Linked DNA regions of Lepisosteus oculatus. The protein of the gene in region 2 purifies or fractionates together with the protein of the main gene of each other region. This does not show direct contact. Links are inferred from orthologs where the notes say so. Each region holds a gene or a part of one and is shown on either strand. Other genes may lie near its edges.

The links. The genes of interacting proteins can lie anywhere in the genome.
Region 1: the proteins of traf7 (region 2) and map3k3 purify together in Homo sapiens (affinity purification with mass spectrometry; 5 studies listed by BioGRID and IntAct, with this or other methods). This does not show direct contact. The link is inferred for Lepisosteus oculatus from reciprocal best matches to the Homo sapiens genes TRAF7 and MAP3K3.

Annotation. Positions count from the first base shown.
Region 1 is NC_090723.1:1,797,979-1,804,257, reverse strand, and holds the start of map3k3 (mitogen-activated protein kinase kinase kinase 3), read left to right. Parts: upstream 1-2,268; 5' UTR 2,269-4,209; intron 4,210-6,279. Other genes in the region: translational activator of cytochrome c oxidase 1, read left to right, coding at 362-571. UniProt on the Homo sapiens protein: Component of a protein kinase signal transduction cascade. Mediates activation of the NF-kappa-B, AP1 and DDIT3 transcriptional regulators.
Region 2 is NC_090714.1:12,214,623-12,220,901, reverse strand, and holds the start of traf7 (E3 ubiquitin-protein ligase TRAF7), read right to left. Parts: upstream 3,660-6,279; 5' UTR 3,578-3,659; intron 3,565-3,577; exon of another isoform or gene 3,166-3,564; intron 1,447-3,165; exon of another isoform or gene 1,258-1,446; intron 1-1,257. UniProt on the Homo sapiens protein: E3 ubiquitin and SUMO-protein ligase that plays a role in different biological processes such as innate immunity, inflammation or apoptosis. Potentiates MAP3K3-mediated activation of JUN/AP1 and DDIT3 transcriptional regulators.

The sequences.
Region 1 (6,279 bases), on a different chromosome or scaffold from region 2:
GCAAGCTCTTTCGTTGAAGTGATTTGTGAAACTGTTTTTCTGCGGCCCACCCCTGATTTCAGAAATAGCCAGCTTAAAAGTATATTGGAGCCAATAAAATTACGAAACACTTTTTTGTCTTCAGATTAATACAGACATGGTCTAATTTAGCTGTCTAGACAACTTTTATATTTATCCCATTAATGATGTCCAGACATACTGTAGATATGAATCACATTGTATTTAAATTTGGGTTTACACTAGGCAAGCATCGTGCGGTTCAGAAAATTGCCTTGAGCAGCGAAGTATGCAGTTTCTTGCCATATCACCAAAAGAATCGGAGGACGTCTTGCTCAGTGTTCCGTCGGGTCTCTTCCCCCAGTTCATCTGCGATGTGTCCTCGCTGCGCGGTGTGAGACAGGCCCTGGATTCCCTTGGGCTGCGGACGCTGGCGGCTGGCCCAGAGTTTGTTGCCTGCAGCTTGGCACAGCTGTCCCAGGGAGAGATGGAATCTGCCTCCAGGCTCCTCGAGGTGCTCAACGAATGTCCGGACGTCATCCGTGTGTGGGACAACATCCAGGGGGAGGCCTAAGCCTGCTTCTAACCACCTGCCTCCTGTTCTGGCCCTGGGCCAGTAGGGGAAAAGAAAGCAAAGGAGAGTTAACCATGGTAACCGGCTGACCTTCCTCAGGAAACATCATCAGGGGTCAAGCCCATATTTATCAAGGGATGCCCATAGTGGAGATCAGAGGCTTATCTAACTCAGTCTAGACAGCAAGAGGGGCTGTTGGCTGTTGTGCTGTGAGAAGGACAATAGTACAAGTTCTAGTGTGATCAAGAGCAAATTCCGTGTTGAAGGCCCCCACATAAGAGCATAAAAACAAATTGAGATCATTTGGCCCATCTTGCGTATTTGTTTACTCTCATTGATCAGAAGAATCTTGTCCAGCCTGTTCTCGAAGGTTCCCGGGGAATCATGCCTTCCATAATCCAGAACACTGGATTGCAAATGTTCTGGATGACTTTTAGATTCTGTTCAGAATTTTTGGATGTTGTATTGTACCTGTTTGAAATTAAAACCATTAATTTATGAAAGATGTGTGTGTGTGTTTTTTCAGGAATCAAAAAGCAAAGTAATACCCCTCTTGGTATGAATAGATATGACCGTATTAGGAGTTTAGCACTCACATTTCAGATTTTCCCAAATAACCTCTTCTACCACAATCGTGCCTTATTCCAACATGGATCATACATCATAAAATAAATGTTATTGTGTTTCACATAAAAATGTAGAACTGAAGCTGATTTTGAGTCATTCAACTCAGAGGATGGGGGTAAAGTGGTGTTAGGTATTCCTGTTTTTAAGTGTGAATGCTACTTATATTTAGAAGACATCCATCCACTTTTAAAACTGCTTCATCCACTTCAGGGTCGTGGGGGAGCTGGAGGCTATCCTGGCAAGGCAGGGTACACCCTGGACAGGACGCCAGTCCATTACAGGACACACACTCGCACCAGGGCAGAATCTCCCCGACGCCAGTTGACCTACCAGTGTGTCTTTGGACTGTGGAAGGATGCTGGAGCACCCTGTGAAAATGCATGTTAACTAAGGGAACTAAGTTAACATGCAAACTCCACACAGAGAGCACCCCAGCTCCCAGAATTGAACCCAGGACTCCAGCACAGTGAGGCAACAGTGTGTCACTGTGCACTCAGAGCACATAAACTACCCAATTGCAATAACCTGTGTCTTTGTATTACAACACTCTTTCTTTTAAGTTTTTTTTTGTCTTCTCTGTAGAAGAAATAACATGTGGTACACAACTCTAGTTAAATCCTCAACTGCTGATAAAATGTTTGATATTGATTATATCAAAATCTGAATTGCAGATTAAAACTTAACATTTCGGCTAAGTATCATGTTTAGGTTTTACAGATATTCAAAGTCGAATATCAAATCTCTGATGCTAGTAATGACATTTTTGTAAATACATCAGCGTTTCATCTTTTTTTTTATATGAGGAGCTTCTTTTTCGTGTAAAAAAAAATCTGAAATTTGTAACATCAGCAATTGAGGATGAATATTCTGTTTGAATCATCAGTATCCAAACCGGTATCGACGGGCAACAAAGCGAAAGCGCTCCTCTTGACCACCGATGACAAGCTCATGGGGGGGGCAAACCAAATATCGCGGTATGCTGGCCCTGCACACAAAACTAGATGACGAACCAGCACAAAGTTCATGACGTATTCGGCAAGGACGTCAGCCAGTAGATGCGTGTCTGTGTTGGAACTTGTCGGGCGCTGAGCGCGTAACCTGGCTGCCGTAAGAAATCTGCGGAGGAACTGCGCGCTCCCGAGCGAGTTTGGTGCTGTTTTAGTGCTCTTCATGTGAATTGTCGGTACCCTCAACAGTTATGGGGAGCATCTTATTGACCAGAAAGCTGAATGCTGTAATTGTGCCACGTTAAGGAGCTTTAAACTACTTTAATTGAAAAACAACATAACTTTAGGTTTTTTTTTTTTTCGGAAGCTGACTGATGGGTTCCGGTGACTGAGTGCGTTTTTTTTTTTCAAGTCAGGAAATTCGCTGCAAGGAGATTAAATTTACTTTGGAGCGATGTGCATGCGGACCCGAGCTCCTTCAAACACCGTTTCGTGAGTTTTTTTTTGTAAGGTCCCTTTTTGTTTTTTCTTCTTCTTCTTCTTCTTTCGGAAAAGCGGGTGTGTCTCGACTTCAGCCGAGCTGCCCTCTCCGCGCTTGTCAAAACCAGACCGGACCGAAAAAATACAAAGTTTTTTTTTTGAGGTGGGGGGGGCAGAGATCTGGGCTGCTGTGGCGAAGGTCTTATTAAAACCATCAAAGCAGAGATGGAGAAGACATGACATGCTCCGGTGGGAGTCTTCAGCGCCAACCTGCAGCTCTTTTCTGGGGGTGGAGGAGGGACACACTTTTGTTTTTAAAGAGGGTGTCCTCGTTTGCAGCGGTTTCCCTTCGCCTTTGGGGGAGAGAGAGAGAGAGAAAAAAAATGGAGATAACTGATTTTCACAACTTCACCATAACGTCACGGGTTTGCTTGCGCCGGGCTGCTCCGTCTTGTTTTTAAAACTTGACGGGTTTGCAAAGTCTGACGGACTCGTTTTATTACTTCTCCGGAGTCCCCAGCCTCGACGCCAGATCTGATTATAGCCCCCAAACCGGGGCAGTGATTTCATGATTATCTTTCTGCTCGACCGGACAAGCAGTTTTTGTTGGGGTTTTTTTTCCTTCCGCGGTGCATGAAAATACGGATCTTCTGTTTCCCACAGATCGTTAACATCGTTTTAACTTGAATAGTTTCGATAAGTGTTCTGGTTTTCCTTCTTTTTTTTTTTTTGGTAATTATTATTTTGTGGAGGCCCTGCGCATCTATCTATCGGGACTTTTGTGGAGAACAACAACAACAACAACAAAACAATATATCCTTGCGTGATAAGAAGACGGCGGAAAAAAAGTGCGAGTTTTGCAGGAAAGGCGTGCGATCGAGAAAGCGGTTTCGTGGTGTTGTTTTTTTTTATTCTCCCTCTCGCACGGACACCAGGATTTCATAAATGCCTTGAAGTCGACTTTCTCCACCCCGGGACACCCCTTCCACCCGTTAACAACCCGTACATGTGCATTTTTTTATTGTGGACTTCAGCGACACTCTGGAAGAAAAACTCGTGTTTTGACCCGAGGCCAAGAAAAATGTTTGAACTTAATTTAGCAGCAGACATAGCCTGGCTTCGCTTTTTTCTCTCGGCATGCTTGTCAGGAAAATCCAAGACTGCATTGGACGTTTTATAGCTGTCTGGATATTTTCTTGTCAAGGGGAGGAGAAAAAAAAGCAAGCTGAAAACAACCCAGAAACGAAATAGCACAGTTTCACTTTAATTCGTTTCTCTTTTTTTTTGTTAACTTGTAAATCTCTCGACAACCCGGGACTACAAGTGCTCTGACCGACAGGACTCGAGATTTGTTTTTTTGTTTGTTTTTTTCCCAGTTTGGTTGTGTTTTGCAAGTCCCGCGACCAGTTAACGAGCCTTTCGGGATTAAAAAGCGATGTATTTCGACAGCTAGCGAGGATGCGTGACAACTGAGCCCCCTTTTTGCAAGCGACTGTCGGACTGCTCGCTTGTTCGGGAGAGTCACTTGCGGAGTGAGCTGCTGCTGTTTTGCTCGGGCAAGAGGCAAGCGTGTTACCCCAGGAGGTGAGACAGCTGTGACATTACTCACTCTTTGCATCTGTCTGAGGTGGTGCTCAGCTCGCCAAGAAGGGGTGTACTTAATGCGTTAACGTGGGTTTTGTTCCTGCTTGACCTATAGAGTTGTTTTCTGTGATACCAGCTGCTGTATGATTCCTTTAAGAGGTCTGGAGACAGTGCGTCAAATTACCAGTTACATCAACGTCTTTTCACAGTTTCAGACCGTGATTTTTCCCAAGATTTCCATTGTGCACAGCTGACCCAAAATGGCCTTTTCCTTCTATACAGTTTGGTTTTTATGACGGGGCCTTTTGGGGGGAAAACTTCCCGTTGTATTTCAGCAAGGCAAGCGTCCAGCTCTTACAAATAATTGCTTTTGTCATGCATGCGTTCTTGGGCTTTAAATTAGAGAATTTAGACAGATATAGAAAGTTGCGTAGTGCGCTATGAGCAAGGTTCCTGTGCCGGTGACCTAGAGAGCAGAGGAGCTGCAGAAAAACAACTTTCGAAAACACGTGCTCGACAGTCTTTTTGACCAGCAGTATTGTTGTGGATTTCTTCAGAGAGGCATGGAAAGAGGTGAAAGGCTTGTACACAAGGCCTTCTCAGTGGCTGGGGGGCTGTATTTTTCACAGTGCTGAGAACACATGCAGTGTGCGTCTAGTTACGTCCTAAACAGGACACAAAACTTCACTTCATTCCTTTGACTTTGGCAAGTGCCTCTGCTCCTCAGTTGTGTGGTGGGGTTCAAGGATTTAGTATGTGAGAAGGTGCGGGTTTGTGTGTCAGTTTTGTGTTTCCATTTGTAACTCAACATCTATAGAAAGCTTATTCTTCTTATCGGCCTTAAGGCACAGCAGGCCAACTCTGGTTTCTGCACCACAGTGCAGCAGGTTTTATAGGTTTCTTACATCATCAACATGTAAAGACTTCAGTTAAGAGTTAAGCAGGTCCAGTCAAGCTGCTAATTAGCCATTTACTGCAGGTGATAGAATATTTTGTATTAGATAAAGCGATTAGAAAAAGGATGGAGGAATGATGGCGATACCCTCTTTGTTTTCAAAACCACTGTATCAGTAATGGCTCAGGCCTGACTTGTAGTCCCTCAACCTACTGTGGGATCGTTTTGAAAAGCCCACAAAATTGCCAGCCACTTTTTAATCCCTTACTTGTGCGCAAGGTCACCGAGAGGGGTAGTTGTTTCCAAAATTGTATAATCCACTCCAAAACCAAGTTGCTCGGACGACTAGACATCTTTGAGGCAGGCTAATGAAGTGTAAAATTGTGATGCCCCAAGGGGCATCCGTGACAACGGATTCCGTTGTGAACATGGCTTTCATCTGTTTACCTAGAAATCAGGGACAAAATCTGGAACAGCTCCCCGCTGTGACCCTTGGCTACCAGGTGGGGAGGCTGCATTGTCTGGGCTCTGCCGGTGTGGAGGCTCAGTCGGCTTCCATTGTTCACCCTCAGTGCTGTGCTGCTACTGCAGGTTTGCGTGTCGCCATCATCGGGTGTCCTCCCGGTCCCTCGCCCCGGTCCCTCGCCCCGGGCCCTCGCCCCGGTCCCTCGCCCCTGGGCCCTCGGGTTGGATGGAGGCTGTGCATGATTTGGAGGATGTTGTCGTACCTTGCCTCCCTCCTGCGTTGTTCTGAGAATTCCCTTGGTGTGCATTATTGCTTAGACCACTGGCGATTCCAAAATCCTGGGTCACGGTGCGACGAATTCAAAGTTAAGCTCCCAGGTTTGCCCGAAGGAGAAGTCGGAGAGAGATTCCAGGAGCCCTGCGCCACAGCTGTAGTTTTTTAAGTGGATCCAGGAGCTGCCCACGCTCACAGCAGGTTGCAGTTATCCCTGCGTGAAAACAAATTGCACTAGGGCCCCGCTCCACCGAGGGGAGCGGAGGTGAAAGCAGGGATTAGTCCTTGCAGCAGGAGGAGCTGTGCATTGTGATCCAAAAAATATCATTTGTTTCCGAGGCAGAGAGACGGGGTGATTCCAGGTTCGTTGATGGTGCAAACATTTTACCACGGCCAGCTTGTCATCTGGGTTTCAGTCTCGCTGACGGTGGTTTCC
Region 2 (6,279 bases):
TGCTGATATGAGACAGAAAGCACTGTATCTGCAACTTAATTATCACAAGTACACAGGTAGCCCCCATCTCCCTAGAAGGTGGACAACCTCTAAAAGAATCTCTCCTTTTACTTTACTCAATTTTTCCTCAAAATCACGTCTTCCAACAACTAGAGCTGGAGGCTGTGTGGGCTAGTAGCTATGAAGAAAGCTATCCCTCATTATTGACCTCAAACTGACATGGTCTTCACCTCAGACTCAAGGGACTATGAAATGTCCTACTTTCCACATGCTGTGTACAAATGTAAGATGAAGAATTAACAGTAAAATGTGGCACTGGAATTTGAGGTTTCAGTATCCTGCGCTGCAGAAACATTACCATCAAGTTCCTGGGAAAATGCCTCGCAGGTAAACACTTCCGAAAATTAGACGCCATACTTTTGAACAGCGAAGAAGGAAAATAGTCATCAATGATGGTCACAACATATGTTCCAAACAACTAAGACCATGTTCCAAAGTAGGAAAAGAAATTCTAAACCATCCTGCTCTATAAAGCCTTAAACGACTTCTGACAGTTACTAACTAGTTTAAAAGACTAATATACTGAACTCAAGTTGCCTTGGATAAACATCGGCGGCTACATACATCAAAATATTATTTACGGCAATAATTATTGGCGACAAGGATGCGATCATAGCACAATGTTAAGTCAATCCAGTGTTTATGATGAATCTTGCAGAAATCGATTAGGAGAGATGACATAATCCATTTGTAATCCCGCGGTAAAGGGTTATCGACTACAAATTGAAATCTGGAGATACAATCGGGTCTGTTTAAGAATATTACTTCTAGAGGGAGCAAAACAAAAGCACTTCAAGATAACCCTGTCAGCGCTAGCTACCACCAATAACAAGGAGAGCTCGGAGCTCAAGAAAAACTGCGCACTACTGAATTCCGTAACTGCGTTAAAAACAAAACCGGGCTGAATGAAATCGATGGCTCGATTAAAAAGAGAGAAGTGAGAGAAGGTCCGGGACCACCTCCCCCTGCAAAAAAAAAAGGCAACTCAAAGTCAGCCAACCTGATTTTGGAAAATGTGACTCATACCAAACGAAACCTTAGAGGGAAAAATAATTGAAAACGTTTTAGTTGATTAAATGCGCTAAACAAAAATTCCAGAAAGTTACTGTTTGCGAGCGATGAAATGCCCGAATAAAACCCCGATCACACAGCTAAATGCACAACGTCAGAAGACAACGCTGCGGTCCGGCTGTTTACCTGTTGGGAGACAGTTACCTTTAATTCACTCACAAAGACTGTAAACCTACAGCCTTGCGTTGAAGTCTAGTGCACATTTCTGTACCATAACGGTAATGAATGAAACAAAAGTTGTTCAATTAATCCGATTACAGTCCTCAAAGCACGCTGAGACCCGTCTGCCAGTGCTGCTCTGCACGGTGATGTAAACAGAAAGGCACGCGACGGGACTGCCTGTATGCTAATGAGGCGGCGCCTCGGCCAATCGGAACACAGGCTGCCCACTCTCCGCTTACTACTGTACTATTCCAAAGTGACGTCAGTGTCCCTTACCAGCACTTTTTTTTTTAGATTTCACAACAGTAATGAATAGAGCCGCCTACGCCGTATCATAGTCCATATCCGAATGCTAAAAAAAAATCCGGAGCTGTATAATTTCCGAGACGAGTTCACAAACACGTTTAAGTGACCGTAGCCGTCTTACTGATTGACATCAATCTGTTTTTCCTTCCAAAAATCGACACGAGGCTACAAATTAAACGGCCTCTACTTGCGCCACACAAAAGCATTGTGTTCTTTACTTGTTCCGAGTGCAACAGCAGCAACTCACTTTGATATGAACACAATTGCATGTGTTGGTACACCGCCTGCTAAGTAAATAATTACATTCATAACCATAGCTGAGAGCTCATTAATGCGAATGGTTTCAAAGGTCAACAATTATTACATTACATCTGCATCCGTTCTCTATAACGATTTCGCACTTTCTCTGTATAACGAGTACAGTCGCTGCAAATTTAACATTTTTCATTCAGCGTGTCACTGTATATCTGATACAGCGTGCTCCTCGCCCGTACCACTTCGGGTCAGATTCAGACGTCTGTGGCTTTTTCCAGACTCGCACTCCAGGAACTGCAGAGACTTCGACGTTTCACGATTTCAAGAACAGGTGGGTACAAGGACAACAACAGAAACGATAGTACCACCACGTGCCCCCAATGCGATACTTAATTCATTCGCGTAGCCAGCAAAGTGAAGACTTCATCTCTTCAATCAAACTCGACGTACTAGTTTTAAGGGAGAATGCGTTACTAACGTGACACTGAGAGCTGGAGCAATGAATCGGATATGACGCCTGTGTCATTTGAACAGCCTGTACACAACAATCTGAAACACGGGTGCATACATGTTGGGCTTCATCACTCCGTTCTCCTCCCCACTGAGAGCTGGTCTGTGGGGAGCGTATTGGTGCACTATGGCTGCCGTCGCATCATCCAGCTGGGGCTGCACACTGGAGGGGAGTCCCCATGATCTGTCAAGCGCTTTGAGGGGAGTGTCTAGAAAGGCGCTATATAAATGGAAGGGTTTATCCCTTAAGATACTTCTATTAACGGGTCTATGAACACGAACAGAGAGTTTATAGTATGGATCTGCTGCCACCGACAGTCTGAAATGTGAGCTTCGTTTCACTGTTGAAATCGACCGAGCCCCACTCTTCCAGTGCAAGCGGAAGGAGACCCCACAAATATCACGGGGATCTCAGCTCCCCACATGCCCCCCCCCTTCGGGGAACGTCGCCGTCTCAAACCTTTCATCACTAAACCGAAAGATACAGAGCACAAAGAAACGAGAGGACACCTCAGAAAGCATCACAGACCCCGAGCCCGTCCAGTCTCGCACGAACACAGCTGATCGCACCTCAGACGGGAATGCGCGTCGACACTTTGTGACACCAGACGGCTCGCTGGCTCTCAGCGAGATCTTCCCAGACACAGCGCCCGATGCGTGGTGCATCTCCTTCCCTCGGTGACGACGTGTACTGGCGCTTTTCGCTTATGAATTCACTGAATCAGCCAGCGCGACGGATCGCACACTAAACAAATGAAGCCCCTGCTGAGCCGGCGGCAGGCTCGGTGGAAACTCTCCTACCTTGCCAGGAACACTTCATCAAATGTTTTTTTACGGACGCTCTCCACATCAGCCCATTGGTTCGCAAGATAATCGTTGTGTCGCCAAGACACGTATGGCGTTAGCCAGCTGTGTTACGATTGCTTTTAAAGAAACGGAAACAGATGTCTAGGAGAGTCAAAAATTCATAGCAGTCTTGCAGTTGTATCCAGATTTTAATTAGACATTTGTTCTCGTCTCTCGGCACATGGATCGCTGTCGTACTCTCAATAAGCTGTGACTCGTTAGGGCTATTTCTGGTCTAGAATTAGGAGAGAGAGATTCCGTGTTACGATGGTGTCAGCCGCAAACACCCGAACCTAAGGGCTAGCAAAACAGTTTTGGTCGAACTACGCGATGGAAAACCTGTGTATAACGAACTCAAACCTCTTACCAATGATGCAAAAGCACTCAGCCTGCTCTTATAGTCCACATCTTCTTCCCTGACAGCAGCCAGATTTTTGAGGAAGTGAACTGTTTACCGGGCATTGTGGGGCTTGTAGTTCATTTATTCAGCTGGGGCCTTCGATTCCAAATCAATCCCCGATCAAGTGAGCACTACAGACCCCACAATTCTTTTCGACACCGCCCTCCCATCCACGCTCCGCCCACAGCTGAATGCTCATTGGCTATAGCTCCATCAGTCTATTGTACTACTTTTATCTACCGTTGGACGTCCTTCAAGTCAGTTTCCCTCTCACGCTAAAACTCACATTTGATTCGTGACCAAATACATTTTAAATAGCCAATAGGAAGCTTCCCCTTCTTCCAGCGGAAAAGGAGTGTTGCTTTAGAATTCAGAGGCGATTGGTTCCTTCGCATAAGAAACGGCTATTTTTGCATTGACTATCCAATAAGAAGTGTGAATTCAGGCCGGAGCCAGACCTTCACCCCATAAATTCATTTCGCGGTGCTATTGAGCCTCTCTTTTCGCTCGGTGGAGGTGAGTGGTGGTTTGTTTTAGTTGTTGCTAGTGTTAGTAAAAGCTCAGCATTTCCGTGCATTAGTTTTATTAAATCTGGCTTGTCTCGGGGAAGTCCAGCTGTCCATTACGAGTGCTTGCCGAAGTACTGAATGTATTGGGCGCTGCTGTTTTTCAGCGTAGGCGTGCTGGATTGACCTAGGCTAGGCCATGTGGGCCCAGCTTGGCTTTGTGTAGCTCCACGTACAAAGGTCTGCCCAGTTTGCAGACTTAAATGGACGCATCTGCGCACCCCAAGATGCGGCTACGGGCCTACATCGGGCCCGCTTGGAGTTGGGTTTCATGCGGGATTTTTACAAGACTAGCGTCCTTCTCTTATGAGAATAGTCTGAGTCTCCTTCAGTGTTAATGATGAATCTATTCTTATTTCTGACACTTCCGATGAACAGTCCTTGATTTCACTAAATGTTCTGAAACACTGTGGACTCGACTGATCGTCTGCACGTAGGATGCACGTGTAATATACTCGCTTGTGAAGTGAGAAGCGTGTCCTTTATCGGTAGAAGCTTCTCAGCGACTGAAAAGCTTCACCCCTGTTCGCCTAGGCTGTGCCTCTGTATTTGTTTCATGTGAAAGCGATTGCATGGGAGGTTGCGCTGAGATTGTTTAAGAAACCGGCTGTATATTTTACTTTTTGTTTTAGTGACACGTGGTGACGTGCTGCCGATCGCCGTGGAGAAATTCAAGATGGCGACGTCGCAACAGCATGTCCCGAGAGGTTGTGGGGACGGATCCGAGTGGAGTGGAGTGGCGGGGGTGTATCCGCAGGCAATCGAGTGACTTGAAATGGTGAGTCACCTGCGCGAAAATGGGCTGGTTTTTGATTGCAATTGCAGAATTCAAATTGGCCCCTAATCGAAATCTAGGTGGAACTGTCGGTTCAAGGGCTCCCCGTCTCTGCACAGTGTTCATGATGAATGATTTTTCCATTTCTGACACTTCCAATGAGCAGGCCACCCTGTGGCCTCTGATTTCAATCCATGTTCTGAAGCACTGTGGTCACTGCAGGTCAGGTTTGTGAAATGTTTCCATGATGCCCTACTCGGGACATGATGGCTAACCAGGACCTCTGTGATGACCTGAGCAGGAAAGATCTTTCAGAGTTGGGGGAGGAAGGATGGTTAACGTTCCGTTTCTTGGCTCAACAGATCACCCCAGACGACGCGTGCGTGCCTTGAGACGGGCTTGGGTGAAGAGCAGACGTCGAGAGATTTGAAAATGGTGAGTTTATCCTTCCGTCCGACTTTTAAATAATCTCCCCTCGATCTGACTGAACGGCTGCTCGCCCTTTCCGGTCTCTGCACAGTGTTCGTGATGAATTATTTCTTATTTCTGACACTTCCAATGAACATACTGCCCAGCAGTCCTTGATTTCACCTCATGTTCTGAAGCACTGTGACAAACGGGAAGCTTTTCGAAGGCAGCTGGTTTTTATCCGTTGATCCTGGAGCTTGTGTAGCATAAGTATTGAGGTTGGGTTGCGCAGTGATTCTAAAAGGATGGCTGGTCTTTGTTTCAGGCATTTCAACCCTCCCCATGAAACGTGGTGTTGGGGGGGAGGTCTCGTGGTAGCTTGGCAGGCCTGGTGACTGGAGAGAGAGAGGTAAGGAAGTCAGTGTTCAATCATTGGGGGTGGGGGACCCCACCTCACCTCACACCTTCTAGTTCTCATTCAAACCAAAATTAATCCTCAAGTGAACTAACCAGTAGCTTGTTTAGATCCTTTCCAAGTCTTTCTACGTGAAGGTTGGAGATAACCTCCTAGGAGGTTATTTCTTCAGTTGCTCTTTGACTGATTATGATCAGTTCTCCGTTCCTATTAAAACCCATTAAGTCCGTGTTCGTTAAGAGCTCAGGTGTTGGGTCCAGGATTGGGATTTTAACTGGATATCCTGAATCTAAATTCAGGTGTCGATCCTTGCACCTGACCTAAAAGCTCAGTATCGTCTCCTCTTTCAAGAAATAGTAATTGATCCAAGAATCTCATTCAGGTAACGACCAAGAGATGGCCTCGTTATTTTCTTGCCTAGAGTTGTCCTGAAAATGGAGTTCTTGAACGTGTATGCTGACTCAGTTTTATAGTAGCACTGACTTCTTCTGTGGTCTGAACAATC